4 linked regions of the Caenorhabditis elegans genome follow. The protein of the gene in region 2 interacts with the protein of the main gene of each other region in a pairwise test. Each region holds a gene or a part of one and is shown on either strand. Other genes may lie near its edges.

Region 1 (4,665 bases), on a different chromosome or scaffold from region 2:
ACCTATGTGTTGTCGTCGATTTGGCGGGTCACTTGAACTTTTGCGTTTGGCCATGGAAAGATTGGCGAGGCAGGAGGGGGGACAAAAGGAGGCCTGTTTTGCATATTACCTTGAGAAACGTCGGGTACGACAAGCATAGCATTTTTTGGGTAGTTTTTTCTGAGAGTGATTGTAGGGCTTTTTTGGAAGTCCTTTGAAACCAGTATATATATATATATTTTAGTCAGCTTTAGGTTTTTTTTTTTTTTTTTCGGGCCAAGGCAGATGGTGAAGTTAAGGCTAAAATATATGTCAGGGCCAAAAAGTGGAGACCCAGAAAGTTGAGCCTTCAAAAACTAAGCCATTTAGGCTAACTTTTACTTTCTTTATTTAGGCATTTAGGCGGTTGAGCCCTTGAAAGCCGCATCTCCATTTTTTCCGCTCCTTGAGGTTAGGCTTATTTTAAAATCCTTGAGGTCAGGCTTATCATCCTTCAAAGTTTGAGACCAAGAAGGTTAAGCCCCGTAGTTGAAGGATAATTCTGAGCCCACGAACGCCAAGCCCCAAAGAAGCCCAAAGTAATGGCTGGGCACCTGAAGTCTAAGCCTTTAGGCTGCGCTCTTAGCTTAATGCCCTTCTTCAAAAACTGAGTCCCTCGGTACAGACTAAGCTTTTAGGTTACCCTTTAGCTTTTAGGCAAGCTCGGGCCTAATTTCAGGCTTAGCTTCAGACTCAAAATTACGAGATTTCCCTCAACGTAATTCGAAAAAAATTGATTAGACTAGGTATCTCGCGCCGTGCGTATTGTTGTAAACTCTTCATTTTTCGCTCATCAATATCTCCGAAAACCCCGGGACCCCGAGGTCTATCCTAGATAGCAAGATACGCAGACGCACACATGTGTATACATATGCTATTGGGCGAGAAATAGCGTCTCTTCTTTTTCTTCTTCTCTTGGGAGCTACTTTTCGAGGTCCGAGCTGCTGCAGCTCGAGCTGGGTGCTCGAGCTGACCGCGGACCCCACTTCTCGTGACCGCCTATCTTGTTTTTTTCTGTGTTGCTGTTCTCGGATAAATTTGGGATTGGAATGTTTCTTTGGGGTCTAGCCTGTTTCAACGGAAATAAGTGAAAAATTGTTTGCTGATTTTCTTAATTTTTTCACTATTTGCTGATGCTATTTTTGTAAATTCGGTAGCTGAAAATTTCTGGTACCTGGTAACCGTGAACTATACCATATGGAAAAGTTTGAAAATTGGAGGTTTTAGGCCATTTTCGGCTATTAAACTTTTTCCGATTTTTCGAATAATCTAGCACGTTTTAGCGAAATGTTTTTTTTTTGATTAAGCTTGATTTTTTCTATTAATTTCTCAATTTTGCAATAATTTTCTCCACCTTTTTTCAACCTCCCATAGCACTCCAAATACTCTGCTCTTCCACAAAAAATTTACCCCCCCCTCCTGAGCCCCCACAATTATACCTATGCTTCCTTCCGCCTCCCGGTGCCATGAGCACCAACCACAAATTGCTCTCCATTTTTGCTCCACGACACGCCCAACCGTCAACAGCTTAGATTACTGTTTTTGTTCCTATTTACGAACTAAAGTTTTCAATTTTTTTCTCCTTCTCGTTTGTTCGGATCTTTTTTGTGCTGCTCATTGCTGTTAACGTTTTGAGTTTTTTTTCAGACTTCAACTCGAAAAAGTTCCAATTAGTGTTCATAAAAAGAAGGAATCGAGATTGGATTGGATGGTAACAACCTTTTGAAGAAGCGGCGAACAATGAACGACAGTTGCAGTTGGGACCAGCTATGGGTAAGTTTTTATTGAATCCTTGGTAAAAACTAAAATTTAAAATAAGAAAACAGGCTACTAAAATGAAAAAACCGCGGGTCTAAAAAAATGGCCAAAATCACCAAATGTTGAGCTGAATTTTTTACGATTCTAAACCGTGAATCCTCCTTTTTTCCTAGTTCAACATTTCAAAAAATCTACTGATTAAAAGTATGTACATATGTGCCTAAAATTGTAATGTTATGCACTTCACACTGTGAAAAGGTTAGAAGGTTTCCACCAAAATGAGAAAAATGGCACGAAACTTCAGATTTTCAAAATTGGGCGCTGCTTCAAATTGCTGAACTTTTAAAAAATATGTCAAAGTTCCAAGATACCAGGATTATGCCTAATTTGGAAAAAATTGGAAATATAAAATTTTTCCAAATTCTGTTACAGCTCTAAAGCACCCACGCCACGAATTTCCAGAACCTAGAATTTTTCGAGACCGCCGCAGTTTCAAAACTCCAAAATTTGACGAAATTCCGGGCCCAACCACTTTAAGGATTATTTTCTGGGAATATGCAAAAATAGGGATTTCAATTGATATCATGGCAAGACGTCCGCAGGGTTTTGCGCCGCACTATATTTTATTTGCAATTGCCTGGGTGGGGCGCGAAACCCGTTAGATGTCGGACCATAATATCATTTGTATCGATATTGGGGTACTGATACTGGCATGATCACAGATGGGCGGTCCCGATACTTTTTGAAATTCGGTAAAATTCCGAAATTTCTAAAGTTCGGATGAATTTGAAATTTGGCGTTTGCCAACTTCTAGTGCAATTTTATAGTTTCGATGTGGAAAATCCTTGGATTTTTCTCAAATTTTTAATAAAATCTAATGATCCCCCCCCTCCCCCCCACCAAACATTTCTACTCGTTCCTACATACATTTTCGCATATCACATATACCTTCTCGTCTCCCGCATACATAATTTAGTAGTTGTAAGCAAGATCGGGGGGTGGCGGGCGATCACAAAGTAACGGCGGAAGCGGCTCACCCACCCTCCGAACACACTTGAATTAGTCATTTGTTGCTAATGTAGAGGTGGATACTAATAAGGAGTGGCGGGAGGTGTATAGAGAGAGTGAAAGAGAGAGAGAGAGAGAGAGAGAGAGACGCAGAATTAAAAAACAGGGTTACCTAGTGGGTTTGCTGGGCGCACGTTAGTATGTTTTGGTAAATGCGCTCTAATTTTAAAATTCAAAAATGGAGTGGAAATTTCTATAATATATTTTAAAAACATTTTTTTTTATTAAATTGGTCCGTTCACACTGATTATGCCTACTTTTTTAAGACGTTGTATTTTTAAAAATTGATTTCAAAAAAATTAATTTTCTACTCTCTCTCAAAAACTTCTCTTAAAAACTACAAAATCCGATTTTTTTTTCGCCAAAGTTTCTTATCAGTTTACAGAAAAATTGTGAACATTTCAGAAATGCCAGTATGACACATCTTTTTGAACATATCAGTTTGTGCTTGAATTTGATTCAGAAAAACAGCAAAATTTTTTTTCTTTCAAATTTTCCCAATACTTCAGCCAGTTTTTTGTCGTTTATAACAGTAATCTACCGCAGAGATACAAGCTTATAGAACTTAAAGCCGAGAGAGTGTGGGACGAGGGGAGAGTGCAGACTGTCTTCAATTTCTAGTGCTCAAAATTTGAGAGCATGTAACTTGAGAAATGAATTCTGAAAATTGGATTTTCTATCGATTTACTCTTTAAATTTTCAATTAGGGCTCCCATGTGGGTGCCGCAAACGCCGCCCTCACGCCGGGATCCGAAATCTTAATAGCAATGCGCGAAACCCAAAAAATGTCGGATCGCGGCGCCTACATGGGAGCCCTGGTTTTAATATAATAATGGTTCCGAACAGTTTTATTAATAAAATTGCACAAACTTTCTGATCGTCGGTTCTCCGCTCTTTCCTTATCGTTCACTTCTCGCCAATTTAATAGGCAAAAGCGGTAGTTGGGGAAGGGCGGAAAGCGCAAATAAACACAGCTTCACTCTCTTTTTCTCCCTTTTTCGGCACCAAAATCGTACTTTCTGTGATTGTATTTGTGTTTAGCAGGGAATTATCAATAAGATTAGAAGGTTTTTTAAAAAGAAAATTTTTTGTGGGGTCCCTGTAACCTTGGATGTAATTTTATAACATGGTGCATCGACTGAAAACTACACTAGCAATTTTTAAGTTTACGGTTGAAACTTGTCACTTTTACATACATATTAAGGGTTATCAGTATATTATTCATTCAAAATTTGTGCTAGTAAAGTGAAATTTTTTCTCTGTTTGAAAAAATATGATAAAATGCCAAAAAGAACGTCATTTCCTATGACAAATTTTGTCCGATGCACCATGTTCAAAAAATTTCTTTGGCTCTCACATATTTTTCAGGTTTTACCGCCAAACTTATCGGACTTTTCCAGTCGATGCACCATGTTCGGATTTATTTTTCTAGACAAAATTATTGCTGCTCCTTCAAAAAATATCGATTTTTTTACCTGATGCACCATGTTCAAGTTTTCTGAGAAAAATTTCTGTAATAGTCGAAAAGTTACCGAGAACATTTCAAAACGAAAATGTCATTCTGCTTCCGTTCCCCATTCCCCCCTACTTCTTCAGCCTTACTGTCAATCCATTTCAATTCTACAACCATTTTTCTTCATCTCCCCTCATTTTCCCTTCCTCCTCCCCCTTCTAACTTCTTCTTCTTCTTCTAGTCGCGTCGTCAATCGGTGTTGGGGTCGACAATTCATTGTATATGTAGATCACATTGCATTCGGATTGCGCCCTTCCGTCCTGGCGATAGTTTCTAGGACGCCGCGCCTTGGACACTCACCGCACCTT
Region 2 (4,995 bases):
TCACACATGCGCATCATAGGGCACCGACGCAAAAAAGTGTCAAAAACGATTTATTGTCTTTTCTCGTTCGGTCCTCACCATTGCGCCCCTGTCCTCAATGCGTCGCTTTTTTGTGCGGTCTTCTTCTTGGAATTATTACCGTTTTAATAGGCGTTGAAATTCTGTTGGAGCAGGCTTGAGAGCGGAAATTAGAGTTCATAATTAGTATCTTAGTATCTTATAAGAGTTCATAATTAAATAGTAATCTAATCATTACATCTAAGACTTGAAAAAGAGCCCTCAACTTTTGATCTACCGCAACTCTATTCACCTCTATTAGATTAAAACCAACTCCAATACCCTCCAGGGACTTCCAATCTCTAACCGATAACATCTTTAGTACCGATGTATCATAACACCTGTCACCCATAGACACACACACATATATAGACCCTTCCTGGCCGAGATGAGGGGTACATAAACACATGCGGTAAGACTGTTAACCCCGCCCTCAAAATACTGCTTCTCGGTCTGCGTCTCACCCTTCTAGTTGATGTGGGAGGATCCTTGTAGCTTTTGGGTTCTGATGGGAGATATTCCATGCGGTTCCGGTCAACGCCCTCCACATTAGTTTCACTTTTGTTTTAAGTTTTCAATTTTCACAATTTCATTCTTACCGCAAAATGAGTCATTTTTTGTACGCTATACACATTCTGGTGTTCTGGTAGTACAGGGTGTTGTTGCGTTCAATATTGAAATCGTGAAGTGATGGCAATTTCAGAACTGCTACAAGAGCTTGAGCAGAAATCATTTTCATCTTTACAGAAATTTTCAAACTAGGCATTCTACGCCTTCCTATATTTTTTCCAACACACATTTATATTTTCTTACAATAATTTTTCTCCGCTCTCACAAAAGCTCGAGTTACTTGAATATTCGAAATAGTTTTTTCATGGCTCGTTTTTCTCATTTTATTTTTCTCAAAAGATTGTGCCAGCAATTTTTTCCTTAACAACAAATAACAGTTGTAATTACTCAAAAACATTACCCTCGCAATTTATGGCCACCTTGAAACAGTAATAAAATTTTGTGAAAACACTAATACTTCCAAAGGACCTAGAAAATAGTTTATAAAAATATCCTCAAGTACCGAGAGTTTGTGAAAACATGACGTGAGACTTTAAAGGTGTCTTCTACTCCTCTTGATGGATCTTGCCACAATCTCTATAATAGAATAATGCTTCAAATATAAATTATGAAGCGTATGTAATTTTCACATTCTAAAATGCACAGGAACTATCATGGTAAATTTTGTTACTTTTATTACTTTTTTGCGAACACACTACCGCAAAGTCGGAATCAACAGTAAAACTTTAGATTCGTTGAGATCTTAAAGTTCTTCCTTTGAGATGTTCCTATTAATCCATTAGTTACCGTCACTTTTCCGTTATTACCAGTATAATGACAGAGACAAAACGGGGCGGCGTGCGCGACGGCAAACAGTCATTCCTCTATTACAAGGCCATATCAAATTAGCATAAACACACGTCTCCCGATTCTTTACTATTTTTCATTCTTCAACGGGACGTCGTCTTCTAGTTGAAGATTTCGGAATCTTTTTCTCTAATTGAATCAACATTACGAAGAAGACGATGTCCTTTTCTGCAGTGAAATGAGAAATGAAACGGTCAGATGTCGTCGTGGGGATTTACGGGGCAATGGAGAGACCGGTCTAGTTTTGTGGATGATGGTGATGGTGTTGCCAAAGTGATTGACATTTTTATATGGCAGCAAAAAGGTTATAGAGAGGGACTGGTCTTCTTTTCACACTTAACACTTAACACACCCTTTTTTGGAGGCTTTTTTGAAGTGATTTTGCATACACTATTTTTCTTTTTTTCCAAGTCAACCTCAACTTTATCGTATAATTTGCCATTCTCTTATGAAAATGTGTTATTTTCAATTCATAGTCCCTATTTCAGATGAGCGAACGAATTCGCCGTCGTCGTCTCGAAGCATCGGAGCAATTCGCACCGCAGCTCATCTCATCACGTCGAGCTCAAGGTGGTCTATCGCCTGCTTCGAGAATCCGAATTGCAGCTGATGCTCACAGGCATTCAACATCTGATGATGACAGTGGATGTGCTTTGGACGAGTATGCATGGGTGCCTAGTGGTCTGAAGCCGAATATGGTAAGTATAGAGATTTTGAATGATCTCGTGTGCAATAAAGAACAATTGAATTAGGTTTTTGAACACCAAAACCTAGACCAATTAAAATGTTCACAACCTGTGGACCGTTCAAAACAGATGGTTTTTTGTGCACTTCAAATACTGATTCAAATTCAAATTCAAATTCAAATTCTTACAGGTTCATGCCTACTTCGCCTGTCTCCCGGAAAACAAGGTACCATTCATTGGATCAGCTGGAGAAAAATGGCGACAACGTCAATCACGTTATCAACTACCACCACAGGATTCTGATGTTAGATATTGTGAAGATTTAAATGCAGAAGAAGCGGATACATTGCGAATGTTTGAAAGAACTCGAAAAACTGAATGCCTGGGAAGTGGTGTTGTTCAATATGCTCCATTTGATACAAAATGTGAAAAGGTTAGTATTTTCCATCAAAATTTGTTTGGTTTTATTGAAAAATCGTCACCCGGCCTTATTATGACATTCGACCCATTTGAGCACAACCGTAAATCTTGCCAAACTGTGGCGTATGAAACCATAAACAACATTTTCTTTTTCGTCTTTCCGCACCATCCCCAAAACTCATAAATCTTTATGCGCGAGCGCTCTCTTTCCGCGCACCATCATCTATGCTTATGCTGGGATGCTCCTCATCATCATCTTCACGGCTTCTTTTTTGTCGGGCGGCTTTTTGCCTTTGCATTCCCAACGTGTAGGCACTGTCTTACACTTGAGAATAAACAATGACGGAAATTTGAGAAAGGTCATGCTCATTAACAACGGCGAGGGCCGTCTGCTCTCGGATAGTCCCACTTACGAGAGTGCGGCAAAAAAGTTCTGAAGAATGAGAAGAAGAGGTTGTTGACCTCGATGGGGGAAGCCAGCTGCTTAGGTGTTAGATTTTTGTACGGCATGAGAATAGTTGCAGCAACTTGAAAGGGACAAATGGAATCATGAAAATTCGTCGAAAAATAAACCTTTTTTTTTTAATTTTCTGATATCGTTTTTGAAGGTATCGTCAGTACCGTAAAAAAAGCTTCTATGTATAGTGTTAAAATGTTCAAATAAATTTTTGATTTTATTTTACATACAGTCAAAAAGTGGGAAAAACTCATTTTTCATTACTATAATTTTGGAAGGCGTTCAAAAATACTTTCTACGAGTTTCCAATTTCGTTTTAATCGTTTGTATTTAAACATTTTAGTTGTACGAACCTGCTATTTAAACATTCTAGTAGTACGAAACTATGCTCAAAATTTATTTTTTTAAATTTTAACATTTTTTGAAACAATACACCCATACTTTAACTGAAACTTTGAAAAAACTGAACATTTTTGAAGTATTTAAATTATGATATGTGGTTTTTTGTGTTATAATAAGTGGATTTCGAATAAATCTCCACTGACGATAATTTCATTCAATGGCAACCGACTGTCTGCAATTATTATTGCAACATCTAAATATTGGAGAGAAATAGAGAAACAGAGATAGAGTCATAGACAATATGCAATTATTGTCAATGTTCATCCATCTTTCTTTTACTACGAAGCTCCGGCTGTTTGTCAGAGGAGAAGCTGAGCAGCAGCAGTCACTGCTAATTACCTATGCATCGTTACATGTTTATTAATAGGAGAGACAACGGGGCTCATTGTTGGGGTTAGCTTGGATTTTCGTTTTAGGAATTTAGAATTTTTGCTTTTGAATTTCCAAGGGTTGCTAGGGGTCTAGCTTAAGTTAGTAAATGTAAATGTTATGTACAGTAATATACTCAATTTCCGCTCCTTCTGCTCGTTCTCTTTAGTTTGTTCATTGAGTTATAATCTGATTAGAGCCGTCTCAGTGTTAATCTAATCCGGTCATGGGTAGATGGTAGGTAGATCAAACAAAGCTTCTTCCGATATGCGCGCGCGGGGCGTTTTGATCTAAACACTACTCATAACAAGATTAACAAGGAAAATGAGAAGGAAAGCAAGAAGTCAATTATAGGGTGAAAGAAACAGTATATTTTTGGAAGGGAAGTGCCGAACAGATGGTCTTCCTGGGTGCCATGTTACCATGTCATCAATCACTTTTCTTAGAGGATCCCTCTCATAGTCAGGGGTTTTCGCGCATTTGATACCCTTCGCCCAGTTGGTTGCCCCTCCAAGTATCTGGTTTGAAGACCTGAATTAGGAGACATGGGAACATCTGCCTTTTGTAGACAATTCAGGCAGTGTCATGTTGTTTTCTGAATTGGATGTGTCAGTTCCAATTGTTACCCGTGTGCGTGTCAAGGGTACTTGTTAGTTGTTGATAGTTTACAAGTAATTATCGCCGAATATTGAGGATTAGCTGAGTACAAGAACTTGGAAAACAAAAGTATTGAAGTTGTGAAATAGGTAGGTACGTCTTCACTACCTTTCTACGTGCCTCCCAGGCGTAGGCAGAAGACAGGCAGTTTTTCCCTAGGATTACCCTGTCACGTTTTTCTGTTTAGAGGTGTCTGTTGCCTAATCCATTTCAAAATTTTAGGTGTCTGGTTGTCAGATTAGACGCGAGGTCTTATCAACTTATGGTTGTACATGTCTGTTGTTAATGCGGAGGTTACTTAACTTATAACAGAAGAGAAAATTCACAATGTGCACACTTTAAACAACTGAGAATTTAAATATTTGATTCTTAAAAATAAATTTAAATTACAACTACCAACAAAGATTCTAAGACGGTCAAGAGGGTAGCAGTAGGGGCATACCATCTTGTATTTACATAACTATAGAAACACATGGAGAAACTGAACCACCGGCTGGAGGATGCACTTGACCGTATAATGTTGCTACTTAT
Region 3 (5,905 bases), on a different chromosome or scaffold from region 2:
AAATTGATAACCGGAGCAGGAGGAAGTCACATCTGAACAAAATTGATTTAGATACCTTAAACTAATATAAAAATTTACCATTATCATTGTACTCTCTGTTGTAGGCGAAGCAGAATGGTGGATTGTTGTACTTGCGGTTTTTCTTGATAACCAGAGTCAGACCCTAAAACATAGACAAGTTCCTGTAAAAGTTGCACATTTCAATAATACCTGTATCATGGAAACGGCAAGAATAAGGAAGAGAGCAAGCGAGACGGCGTTCATCGTTTTGACACAACTGGCTGAATGATGCTATCCCGACGCGTTTTCGACGACTTTCCCACACAAGCTGTTCAAACCATTTTCGTTTTTATATTTCGTGGCACATGCAAGTTAACACGTATTTGAACATCTGAAGCAACCGAGTTCGTTGGCTGCAAAAATTGACTCATTAGATCAAACATCGGCGCTTGTAAAAAATCGTGTTTACCAATTTGGGACGGAAATGGAGAATTGCTGATGGAAAAGTTTCCCAATTAGTGTTTCTAATGTTTTTTTTAGATTTCTAAGTACTGTAATCGACCGAGAAGCTAAAAACACAGCGGGTGTTATCGCTTTTCTTTATTGGTAATGAATGCAAGTTATGTAAATTCGTGTGAGAAATAAATTAAAATGCTATTTTTGGATTAGAAATTTCGACTGGAAAGTTAATAACAAAAGCAAAATTAAACAGGAATATACGGTATTATAAAATGTCCATTTTAACCTGAAATGTAAAAATTTAAGGGACACTATAAAAAAAACCGTGTTTTTTTGTGGTGTTCATAATAGGGGTTGACTGATTGGATATCTGACTAACATTTTTAAAAAATTTTACGATGAAACTATGAGGTTTAGAAAAAAAGCTTTCTAAGCGACTTCAACCTCCCGCAACGTCTTGGAATCTTACGATATTTGTTGCTACTATACTTCAAGAACAAAGATAATAATCAAAACAAAACAAAATTAGCTTACAATTAAACTCTTTTTTTTCCATTGAACATGATGTCTATTATTTGCTCTCCCAACAACACTACCAATTGCAAAATTGAATGTTTTGCAGTGTCAAATTTTAATTTTGAACAGTGGTGTGTTTTGAAATGAATAGTTTGTTGTTCCTTGTTTTATTCACGCAACACTTTCTCTTTTTGCTCGTCGTATTTTTTAATCAAAGCGACGTTATTTTTAGTCTCAAGTTTGTGTCTGTGCTCATCTTATTATTTCTTACCAATTTGAATGAATAATGCATAAAACGTTTTTTGTTGTCGTTGAGGATTTAATTTTCTTTAATAAATTTCAAAAAAGTAATGCAATCATGTTTAACAAAATTTTAAATACACATCTTTCTAAAAAGGTTATCATAATTACAGCTCACCAAGTGTATTAATGTATGTAGTATAATTTATTACGTTTCACACTTGCAAAAAACTTTTTAACACATCACCATTAGACTTTTCTCTGAAAAATATATAACAAATTCTATATCAGTAATCCATTTAGACGTCTAGTCTTATTTCCATTTCCGAATAAAATCACCATTAATCTTTCGGGTAATGTTATTTTAAAAAAACTTATATTTTTGGGCTATTTGTTTTACTAAAAAAATACTGTTATGTTTTTGCCCTACCGAAAAAAACCTTTTTTAAGACCATTTTTACACTAATTTTTCAGCAGTATTTCAAAAAGAAGAAGACAATCAAATCGGATATTCTTATTCTCCAAAACTAGACAAATGTTCGTTGTTTTTTCTCTATTTTGAAAACGAAAAGTGTGTTACTTTTCTTGTGTCTCATCCGTATGTCTTTCTTTTTGTGTACTCATTGCAATTCAGAGACAAGACCCACACATTGGGTGTGTCAATGCAGTGGCTGCTGACGCGTTTCTCGTGCGTGCGCTTCTTTTGTCTTCACTTTATTCAATTACTCACCACGAGCTCATTGTTATTGTTTATTGTGTTTAGAAAATACGATTTCCCATAAGAGTCGTTATATTTTCATTCATTATTCTTCTTCTTATTATTATTATTATTAGAAAATATATTTTAAGCTTTTTTTGTAAGTTTTTCAGAAAAATACTATTGGGTTGCTTAAAAATAACAGTTAAAATGTTTACATCCACTGCATGACTCCAAAAATCAATGTGATACTTTATCAAGCTCCTATTCAAAGCACTCAAACTCAATAATAAAAAATATGTGCACTTTTTTTAAAAATATGATTGCTCGTAACAAACTTCTCTTCAAAAGTGTAACATGCCATCATTTTACCAGAAAAAAAAAACGAAATCCAAAAAAATTGGAGGACGGATGTTGAGAAAGATGAACGACCTCTTGCGTTTTGTTGCACGCATCTTTCCCCCCATTTTCGCTTCTTTTTCAAAAATTCTCTCCTTTCCCACTTGTTCCGTCATTTTTCGTTTCCTTTCCCTTCACGACTCGCGCAGTCTCGCATCGATTTTCCGCTAGGGGCCCTCCCCTCCTCACCGCCATCTTCTTTACCAGCAGCCCCGTTTTCCAGTAATTTCGTCCGTCGTAGTCGGGGCACCCCTCACAGATCCGTTCGAACAGCTTCCATTCTTTTGTTTTTTCTCGCACTTTTGTGAATAATTTTGATAAACTTCAGATTGTTGAAAACTCAGTATGGATTTTAACTTCAAAAAGATAGCCAGTGATGCTGGAGGATTCTTTAGCAGAGCTAAGCAGGTTGGTCATTTTTTTACGAATTCCTTCGAAATCCCATACATTTAAAATTCAATTTCCAGCTCACCGAAGAAACATTCCTGAAAGCAGAGCGCACCGAACTGGACTCCCACTTTGAGAACCTTCTACAGCGAGCCGACAAGACAGAAGATCATACTCGCCGTCTCCTCTCTGCAATTGAGGGTTATTTGCAGCCAAATCCCAGTTAGTATTCACGAAAAAGATATTATGTTTTGCAAAAAGACCTGAGAAATGAACTTATCTATTGCAGCCGTTCGCATGGAAGAAGTATTCTATGAAAAATTGGAATTGAAAAAGGATGGTGCTATTCGGCAAAATAATCTCGAGCAGTTGTCAACAGCGATGACCGAAGCTGGAGAGCAGTTCGGAGAGACCACTCCATATGGTTAGTTATTTAATTTGTTTCCTCATAAGACATATAATACTCAATAATTTCAGGATCTGCACTCCTCAAAGTGGCTCAAACGGAAAACCGACTTGGGCAAGCGGAACGGGAATTGTGTGGACAAGCGGCCACAAATACTTTGCTCCCTATTAGAAGATTCTTGGAAGGCGACATGAAAACAATTCAGGTGAGAGACTCCTCTTTTCCAAGCTGCACTATTCATGAGCTCTTGCTAAAAAAATTTAGTAAATGCATTTCAAATTATTCTTGCCCTCAGGCCAGCTGCGCCATAAATATATTTCCGCTTTCAATAAAAATATCTAATTCAGAAAGAAAGAAAAGTGCTGAACAGCAAGCGTCTCGATTTGGATGCATGTAAAAGCCGACTCAAGAAAGCAAAAACTGTAGATCTTCAGACAGTGGTGAGTGATTTTTTTCTTAATTTGTGAAAAATTAATTTTCTAAAAATAAAAATCTAAAAAAGAAAGTAACTGTTTCAGACGAATAGTAAAACCTCTGGAGGGTTTACAATTGAGCAGGTTTGTTTCAGAAATGTTGTAACACTGTTGGTTTTCATTATTGTCTGGTTATTCCTCCCGTTTCTATGTACTTTATAAACTTTTAGTTACATATCTAAACATTATATTTTGAAACTTTTGAAACGTTTCACAAGTTTCAGGCAGAGGCGGACGTGCGTGTTGCTCAAGCAGAGTTTGACAAGCAATCAGAGATTACCAAATTGTTGCTAGAAGGAATTCAAACCGCACACGTTAGTTTTTTAAATGGGATTTTTCCAATTTAAAATGTATAAAAATTTTCAGAACAATCAGTTGAAGTGTCTTCGTGATTTTGTCGAGGCACAAATGTCTTTCTATGCTCAGTCTCATCAACTCATGGCCGATTTGCAGCGGGAATTGAGCGGGTAAGTCTCTCTTTCAAAATTAGGCTCATTAGTTTTCATGTCGCATGCGTCTCCCGCTAGCAATTCATTTGGTAGCCACTGCTTTTTTTATTTCGTTGTAGTGAATGTACGTGTCATGCAAATATTTCAGTTCTCTCGCCGATTCACCGATGTACTACGGAAACCGACACGACGAGTGACTCCCGAACTTTGATTTTATGTTTGCCACTCGTGATTGTGATCTTGACTCCCTATTTATTTCAAATTTAATCGATTTTGATTATATATTATTTTTTCTCTCTCCTCTTTCTCTTTCTTTTTACTTAACATTACTTCCTTCTGAGTAATCCAGTGTCATTCAAATTCGCCAAGAAATTCAATATTAGCTCAAGTTTTCGATATTCTTAAATTTTCAATGTATTCTGTATGTATTATATTGTAATGTATTTCATATTTTAACAGCTCCCGGTCATTTCCACCAATCGATAAGCATAATTAGTATGTTTAATTTTTTTCTTCTTACTCTCAATTCTCCCCCCAACCGCCGTTGATCGGCTTCTTCTAGTCACAGTTGCTGTGTGAATGTCTTAGTATGTGTGACACAACGACGAAACGCGATTTGAACTCAAATAAATGTTTCTCTATTCTGCCAAACTTTTTTCATTGTCCCCAGATTTAAGGAAATTGCTTTCAGCACCATGTCATTTCGCGGAAGCTCGGCAATACTGGTGAACAATAGTGGCGACCCGCCAAACGGAAGGACTATGGCGGCGGCAATAGCGGCGGCCAAGGTTAGTTGGGGAAGAACTTCGTGGAAAGCGTTGTTTCCGTTCCAGTGATTTTCAATTATTTCCCATCACGAACATCTCTTCAAATTACTGATTTTCCAGCCAAGTGGCCTACTGCCGGATGACTTGGGAACCAAGCAAGCCAAAGTGATCATGGACTACGATGCAGTGCTGCCACAAGAGATCAGCGTCACCCAGAATGATGTGAGTCTTGAGAGGAGGACCCCTATTGAAACCAAATATTGTGTGAAATTACGTCTGCTCTTGTTGCAGATTCTCATCGTGTATCGCCTTCCTGGAATGGATGCGGAATATGTGATGGCTGAAAAAGGAGGAAAACGCGGAAAATTGCCTGTCAGCTATATTGAGCTGCTCTAGAAACGCTGCATTCATTAATTTATTGTCTTAGTACTTTGTTCATGTGCCAAAAATGTTTTAGTAAGGTGTCTTATTTATTGTGGAAGATCTCAATTGAAATGTGTCTATTTATTTGACTCCTCAAATGCGCTTATTATTGTATAGGTTATTTAGATTTAAAATAAATGGGAAATTTAAAGATCAAAAATTCGTTAACAATATTGAACACAATATAAAAAGTTTAGTTTTGAAGAAAACTCTCAAATCTCTTCTACGATTGCTGTTTTAGATAATGATAGAACCAACCCTTTGTGAAAATCTTCTGGTTTTCAAACTTCAAATAGAGTTTCCTAAAAGAAAATTGCATTTTTCTCAAATCTTTTTCAGTGATTTTGTTGTAATTTAGACGAAAATTGGTAATTTGAACATCATAGAAATGATTCTTAATCATTTTTTCATTTATATCTTCATTGCATATACTCATTGTGTAAAAGGAAATAATATAAAACTACTTTATGTAATGGCAATAATATTACCGAAATGTACAAATAGTTTGCGTGAAGTCGAAAAAGAAAGACATGGTCAGAAATGAGTTCGTTTAGGCGATCGATCGCTTTGCCTTGCGGTTGGTGTATCTGTATCTAAGACAGCAGGTCTGCTCGGCGCACTTGACGTATCCGCGTTGGCATACGCATTGGTTAGCATCGCAGGAAGTAGTAGCTGACGAATGTTGGGAT
Region 4 (5,128 bases), on a different chromosome or scaffold from region 2:
GAGAATCTACTCGATACAAAATTGGATCGCCAAGAACTTGCGTCCTTCCCTCGGAATATTCAACAATCTGAAAATCTGCAATCAGCGCAAACTTTCCCAGCTGTGAATCGAGGAAGGAAACGCCAAATCACTCACGAAAATGCCGATAATGCGAATCCGGCAAAGCGGCCAGACTTGGCAATTCTTTAAGTGTCCAAATTGGAATTACAAACTTAAATTTCAGATGGCGAGTCACTTCATGATGCTGAACATCAGGGACAAACATGTGGTGCAGCGAGCGACGAGAATTCTTCGTTTCTTGGGGTGAATATTTGGTTTAAAAATGAAATAATTACAACATTTATTTTAGGATAAAAGAGTTTATCTTCTCGGATCCAATCGCTCAAAGCGTCGCAAATGAAAGTCGATCGGCCGTCGCGTTCACCGTTTCCCCAAAGGATTCCGCAAAAATTTTGGAAAAAAATCAACGACGAGAACTGGATTGATGTTTTCGATTGCAAGAAAATAAAGGAGCGCAAACAAGAGTTCTTCTGGTACAAGCTGGATCCTCTTGATTTGGCCAAAGCAGTGGCAATGGCTTCACAGTAATTGATTTTTCTCATCTAAATTATAAAATCATTGCTATTTTTCAGAATGAACGACAGAGGAGTCATCCCGTATCCAACACCAACGCTCAATGATGCCCTCAATGACCATGCTGCTTTGATCCGCGCACTGAACGATTCATCGATCAAAAAGTTGTTCAAAGAGGTCAGATTTTTTTGTACCATGAGAAAACGATTCAGCACAATCCGCAATAATCCAATTTCAGTCAAGCGAGAGCCCACCAATTTCTAGTTCAACATCAGAAATTCAAGAAAATAATTTTTAAATTCATTTGTCAAATATCCCATTTTAATTTAAAACCATGTATTATAATATTTCTTTAAACCCCAACCATTGCAAATATGTGTAATTTTTAAAATCTATTCGCTGGTTTGATTGCTTATTGCACCCACTTTTTTATTAAATATGAAAATTCTATTGGTAAAATAAATTTTAACTCTTAAATTTTCCTGTTTTATAAAATTTTCCTGTTTTATTTCCCTTTGTTCTACTTTCAATGCTGTATATCTGACTTTCTGCGGTGTTTAGGTAGATGATTGCTCTTGAATTGACAGGCCGTATCGGAGAGTCTTAAAAGTTTTCATCTGCTAAACCGGTTTGTAGTATGTAAATAGTCCGACAGATCCAAGCTACTGAAATTTTGTTTAACGTGATGTAATTCACATTATTATTATTGAAATTTTAAAAAAACACTATTTTTCTTTGGGTCTGCTAGACTACAAACTACAAAACATATCTAGCAGATAAATTGTCTCATATCGCTCATAGAAGACCCACTACAGTTTAATATTGAACCCTTTCTTCGGCAAAATTGGTCATTCCGGTTGAACACCATATTTAAAATTATTTTTTGAATATCCCGCTGTTTTCCCCTGTCTAGTCTGCATTTGAGCGCCACGGTGTTTGCACAATGTGTCTTCTCCTCTTTCGCGCGCTTGTTTTGAATTGCAATCGCCGTTGGCAGAATTGTTTGTTTTCTCGCTGTTTTGTCGCCTCCGCCTAATTGATTATTCATTCCTTCATACTAATATTATCTTATTATAGTAATTTCAATGTTAATTCCAATATACTCTCAGAAATCAAAAGGTTTTTTAGTTGAAAACGTTCCAAACACGTTATTATCGATTTCTCTCTATTTAGCATCTTCTCTGCACCGCAAAAATCTATTTTAAAAAATTTCTGTCGATATTAATTTTGATAAAACATGTTATTTATTTTCTTTGACCTTCCTTCCTTCTTTTTTCCGCTGCGTATGATTAATTTATTCATTTTCAGTGAAAATGGACGACACAGAGGGTAACTCCTCGATGGATTCCATTCGAAATGGTCAATCAAGTCCACTTCCACAGGTCACTCCACGCTTACCACAAATCCCGATGATGATGCGTGAGACACCACTTTCCACAAAACGTGAGCGCCAAGCAATTACTCCACGTTTCCGTCGTCCAGCTCCGAAAATGATAAAAACTATGCCACCAACAAGAAGCATTTGGTCTGTTCGGAAGGAGTCGGTCCCACTTTTGGTCACTCCGCAGGGTATGTCGAGTTGATTATTTTAAACATTAATTATTTTTGATAAACCCAACACATCTCAAGCATTTTTTCAGGACCAAAACCACTGGAATCGCCAAAGTACGATCATACAAATGCTCAATCATTCTTTGAACAAGTATTTCAAATCGATGAAATCATTGGAAGAGGCTCGTTCGGAGAAGTATTCGCAGCCAGATGCCGTGAGGATTCCCAATTGTATGCTGTCAAAGTATCGTTAGCTCCGATCCGGCAACATTCAATTTCCAAGTACCGAGAAGCTGAGAGCCATATGATCATTCCACCGCATAAGAATCTTGTCAAGTTCTACAGAGCCTGGGAGGAAACTGGTCGATTGTATATTCAAACAGAACTTTGCGATCAAAGTCTTTTGAAATATTGTACAGAGAAACATGCACTACCGGAGGACGAAATTTGGAATATTTTCGTAGATTTGCTCCAAGCTGTTCATCATTTGCACTCGAACGACATGATTCATGATGATATTAAACCGGAAAACATTTTTCTTACAAAGGACATGATATGCAAACTCGGAGATTTTGGTTTGGTTATTAACCTTAAAAATGTAAGTTCATACTTTTTAATATTCTGATTTTATTCAATCGATTTTCAGCCAAATGATGTGAAATCAGCGGAAGAAGGTGACTCGAAATATCTTGCTCCAGAAGTTTTGAACGGCCGTCCCACGAAATCATCAGACATTTTCAGTCTAGGAATGACAATTCTTGAGGCTACTACTGATCTTGACGTTCCATCAAATGGAGATTCGTGGCATCAAATCAGAAATGGACAGATTCCTGATAGATTCTTCGCTGGAATTTCTACAGATCTTCGCAGTTTAATTGCCTTGATGCTTGACTCTGATCCGAGGATTCGTCCAACAAGTCGAGATTTGCTTGATCATCCGGTAATCAAGAAGAAGCTCATGAAGCGTGGAACCTATGTAAAATGCATTTCAATTGTAAGTTATAGTTTTGTGAATGAGGGATTTTGACAATCACTGGTTTCAGCTTAACGGCTTTTTCTACGCCTTCAGTGCTGTTCTTGTCTGGGTAATGGCTTTCTTCTCGGTGCTCTTTCATCCTATTGTTCGCTTCCATGCTGCAATTAAAGACCGGCAATCGGAAATTTGTGCGCAATTTGTCAATGTAATAAGTTTTTTTACCCAAAATTTTATCAACTCGAATTTTTCAGAATCAGCAGCACACTCCCATCCAAACTCCAGAGACTTCTAAAGTTTATTTGGAATCTCTTACTGGAGTGGCTGTTCGCCAAGCATCTCAAATTGTGTCTCCTTTCGATTTTTCCGATGATGAGAATCCACCAAACGCGCAACGCCGTTTGTTCACTGGTGCAGTGCCGTGTCGCTTGAACTTTGATAACGATCAAGATGACGATGAGGAACAGGCGACTTGCTCATCATCAAACTCTTCAGCTATTGAGCCCCAATTGGATGAACCGGAGAGTCCGCCGAGAATGAACGATGTTATTGATAAACTTGGAAAACGGTTGGTTTTGTTGTTAAATATTCAAAAAGTTTCTGGATTCTCTATTACCAACTGCTATTTTTCAGAGGAACTCCAAGATCAGCTCGTCGTAATCTCACTTTCAACCGTCATCGTCAAGTAGCCGCGTCAGTTGCACCGAAATCGTCGCTAAATCATTATAATCATCACACTGGATCTGGAGATGGATTTAGTAATAACTCTCTAATTCCAATTAGTGATCAAGAACGAACGGAAAAATATCTCCGAATGCGACTCACCGAGCAACAGTTAGATTGGGCAGATCAGAATAATGTGATCGACGAGGCTCCACCACCAATGTCTTGTCCGCCAAGAATCCGAAGAAGCATTCGTGATCTACCGAGAATGCCTGTTCTCAACTTTAACGTTCTCGACGAGCCATCGAATAAACCGACTGTTGATCATCATACGATTTTGGAGCAATCGGAATCGCCACGTAGAAGATTAAATAGAGGGGCTAAGCCTGTGCCTCGTAATAGAATGGTTAGTAGTTTTACGCTAAATGATTTTTATTAAATGTTTTTTTTCCAGATGTCATTTGGATCATCAGGCGACGAGGTTTAATAATGCACAAAAATCAGAAAAATTGTTGAATATTTATTTTTTGCATTTATTAGCATCTCGTACTTTTCTTACTTTTTCTCATCCCATCATCACTTCCCCTAGGTTTTATGCCTGTTTACAGTAGTCCTTCTCACTAGTTATTGATTGATTTCTTTTCCCCCTTGACGACCATCTCTTCACAAATGTGTCATTACTCGAATTTTATTTACTATTTCTTCTGGGTGCTTATTTTCTGGTATTTTTGTACGTCTTTTTGTAAAATCTTTCCCCCTCTCGACCATATCGCACTACCATTATCACACAGACACACAACTTGTCATTATGTCCTTCTTTTCTGAAATTGAAGATAAAACGTATTTTATCTGAACTACGTATATTTTTTTAATTTCTCCATTTCATACAGAATCCAAATTTATTCGAATTGAATAAAGTAGGTACCAACCGATTACACATATGTCTGGTGTAATATAAACTCGAGAGGGTCTTGAGAGAAAACCTGTTCTTGTAGTACTGGAGGTAGGACAGTACAAAAAAATTTCCCACAGCTTTTGATAGCCATTTTGATTTATTTCGATAGGAATATTAATTACTTCTTAAACTACACAAAAAAACAAAAAAAAAAACTATAGAAAACATCGTAAAACCTACTTCCTTTATCAAAAGTTTATATATTGTTTTAACTTTTACTTACAACAGAACAGCAATAATTTGACTATAAAAACCGTCATTAAAAAATCTCGTACCCTCAGAATTTAAAAAGAAATTACAAGTGCTTCTATATGCATTTTGAAAAAAAGACACCACCGCCTCGATAGCTCAGTTGGGAGAGCGCACGACTGAAGATCGTGAGGTCACCAGTTCGATCCTGGTTCGGGGCAACG

Evidence for each region.
Region 1: the proteins of prkl-1 (region 2) and toca-1 interact in a two-hybrid assay, tested with the Caenorhabditis elegans proteins (one large-scale study listed by BioGRID).
Region 3: the proteins of prkl-1 (region 2) and F35A5.8 interact in a two-hybrid assay, tested with the Caenorhabditis elegans proteins (one large-scale study listed by BioGRID).
Region 4: the proteins of prkl-1 (region 2) and wee-1.3 interact in a two-hybrid assay, tested with the Caenorhabditis elegans proteins (one large-scale study listed by BioGRID).

Annotation. Positions count from the first base shown.
Region 1 is NC_003284.9:1,518,488-1,523,152, reverse strand, and holds the start of toca-1 (Transducer of Cdc42-dependent actin assembly protein 1 homolog), read left to right. Parts: upstream 1-1,665; 5' UTR 1,666-1,758; coding exon 1,759-1,791; intron 1,792-4,665. UniProt on the Caenorhabditis elegans protein: Plays a role in protein trafficking, actin organization and embryonic morphogenesis. Potentially acts as a cdc-42 effector. May play a role in hypodermal P-cell nuclear positioning.
Region 2 is NC_003282.8:6,983,902-6,988,896, reverse strand, and holds the start of prkl-1 (LIM zinc-binding domain-containing protein), read left to right. Parts: upstream 1-1,961; coding exon 1,962-2,171; intron 2,172-2,349; coding exon 2,350-2,592; intron 2,593-2,687; exon of another isoform or gene 2,688-3,121; intron 3,122-3,562; exon of another isoform or gene 3,563-3,714; intron 3,715-3,987; exon of another isoform or gene 3,988-4,141; intron 4,142-4,349; exon of another isoform or gene 4,350-4,700; intron 4,701-4,825; exon of another isoform or gene 4,826-4,995.
Region 3 is NC_003284.9:3,799,504-3,805,408, reverse strand, and holds F35A5.8 (SH3 domain-containing GRB2-like protein B1), read left to right. Parts: upstream 1-1,944; 5' UTR 1,945-2,072; intron 2,073-2,517; exon of another isoform or gene 2,518-2,629; intron 2,630-2,637; exon of another isoform or gene 2,638-2,639; 5' UTR 2,640-2,656; coding exon 2,657-2,719; intron 2,720-2,778; coding exon 2,779-2,920; intron 2,921-2,987; coding exon 2,988-3,122; intron 3,123-3,175; coding exon 3,176-3,309; intron 3,310-3,451; coding exon 3,452-3,544; intron 3,545-3,622; coding exon 3,623-3,661; intron 3,662-3,801; coding exon 3,802-3,891; intron 3,892-3,943; coding exon 3,944-4,044; intron 4,045-4,174; coding exon of another isoform or gene 4,175-4,223; exon of another isoform or gene 4,224-4,677; intron 4,678-4,717; coding exon 4,718-4,814; intron 4,815-4,913; coding exon 4,914-5,015; intron 5,016-5,084; coding exon 5,085-5,189; 3' UTR 5,190-5,364; downstream 5,365-5,905. Other genes in the region: F35A5.2 (uncharacterized protein), read right to left, coding at 1-32, 79-163, 211-264; abu-10 (Activated in Blocked Unfolded protein response), read right to left, coding at 5,767-5,905.
Region 4 is NC_003280.10:9,713,221-9,718,348, reverse strand, and holds wee-1.3 (Membrane-associated tyrosine- and threonine-specific cdc2-inhibitory kinase wee-1.3), read left to right. Parts: upstream 1-1,881; 5' UTR 1,882-1,886; coding exon 1,887-2,142; intron 2,143-2,213; coding exon 2,214-2,722; intron 2,723-2,770; coding exon 2,771-3,118; intron 3,119-3,167; coding exon 3,168-3,305; intron 3,306-3,351; coding exon 3,352-3,665; intron 3,666-3,730; coding exon 3,731-4,166; intron 4,167-4,214; coding exon 4,215-4,247; 3' UTR 4,248-4,612; downstream 4,613-5,128. Other genes in the region: Y53C12A.11 (PRE_C2HC domain-containing protein), read left to right, coding at 1-177, 224-303, 350-485; Y53C12A.6 (uncharacterized protein), read left to right, coding at 574-584, 633-750, 812-871. UniProt on the Caenorhabditis elegans protein: Acts as a negative regulator of entry into mitosis (G2 to M transition) by phosphorylation of the CDK1 kinase during oocyte maturation.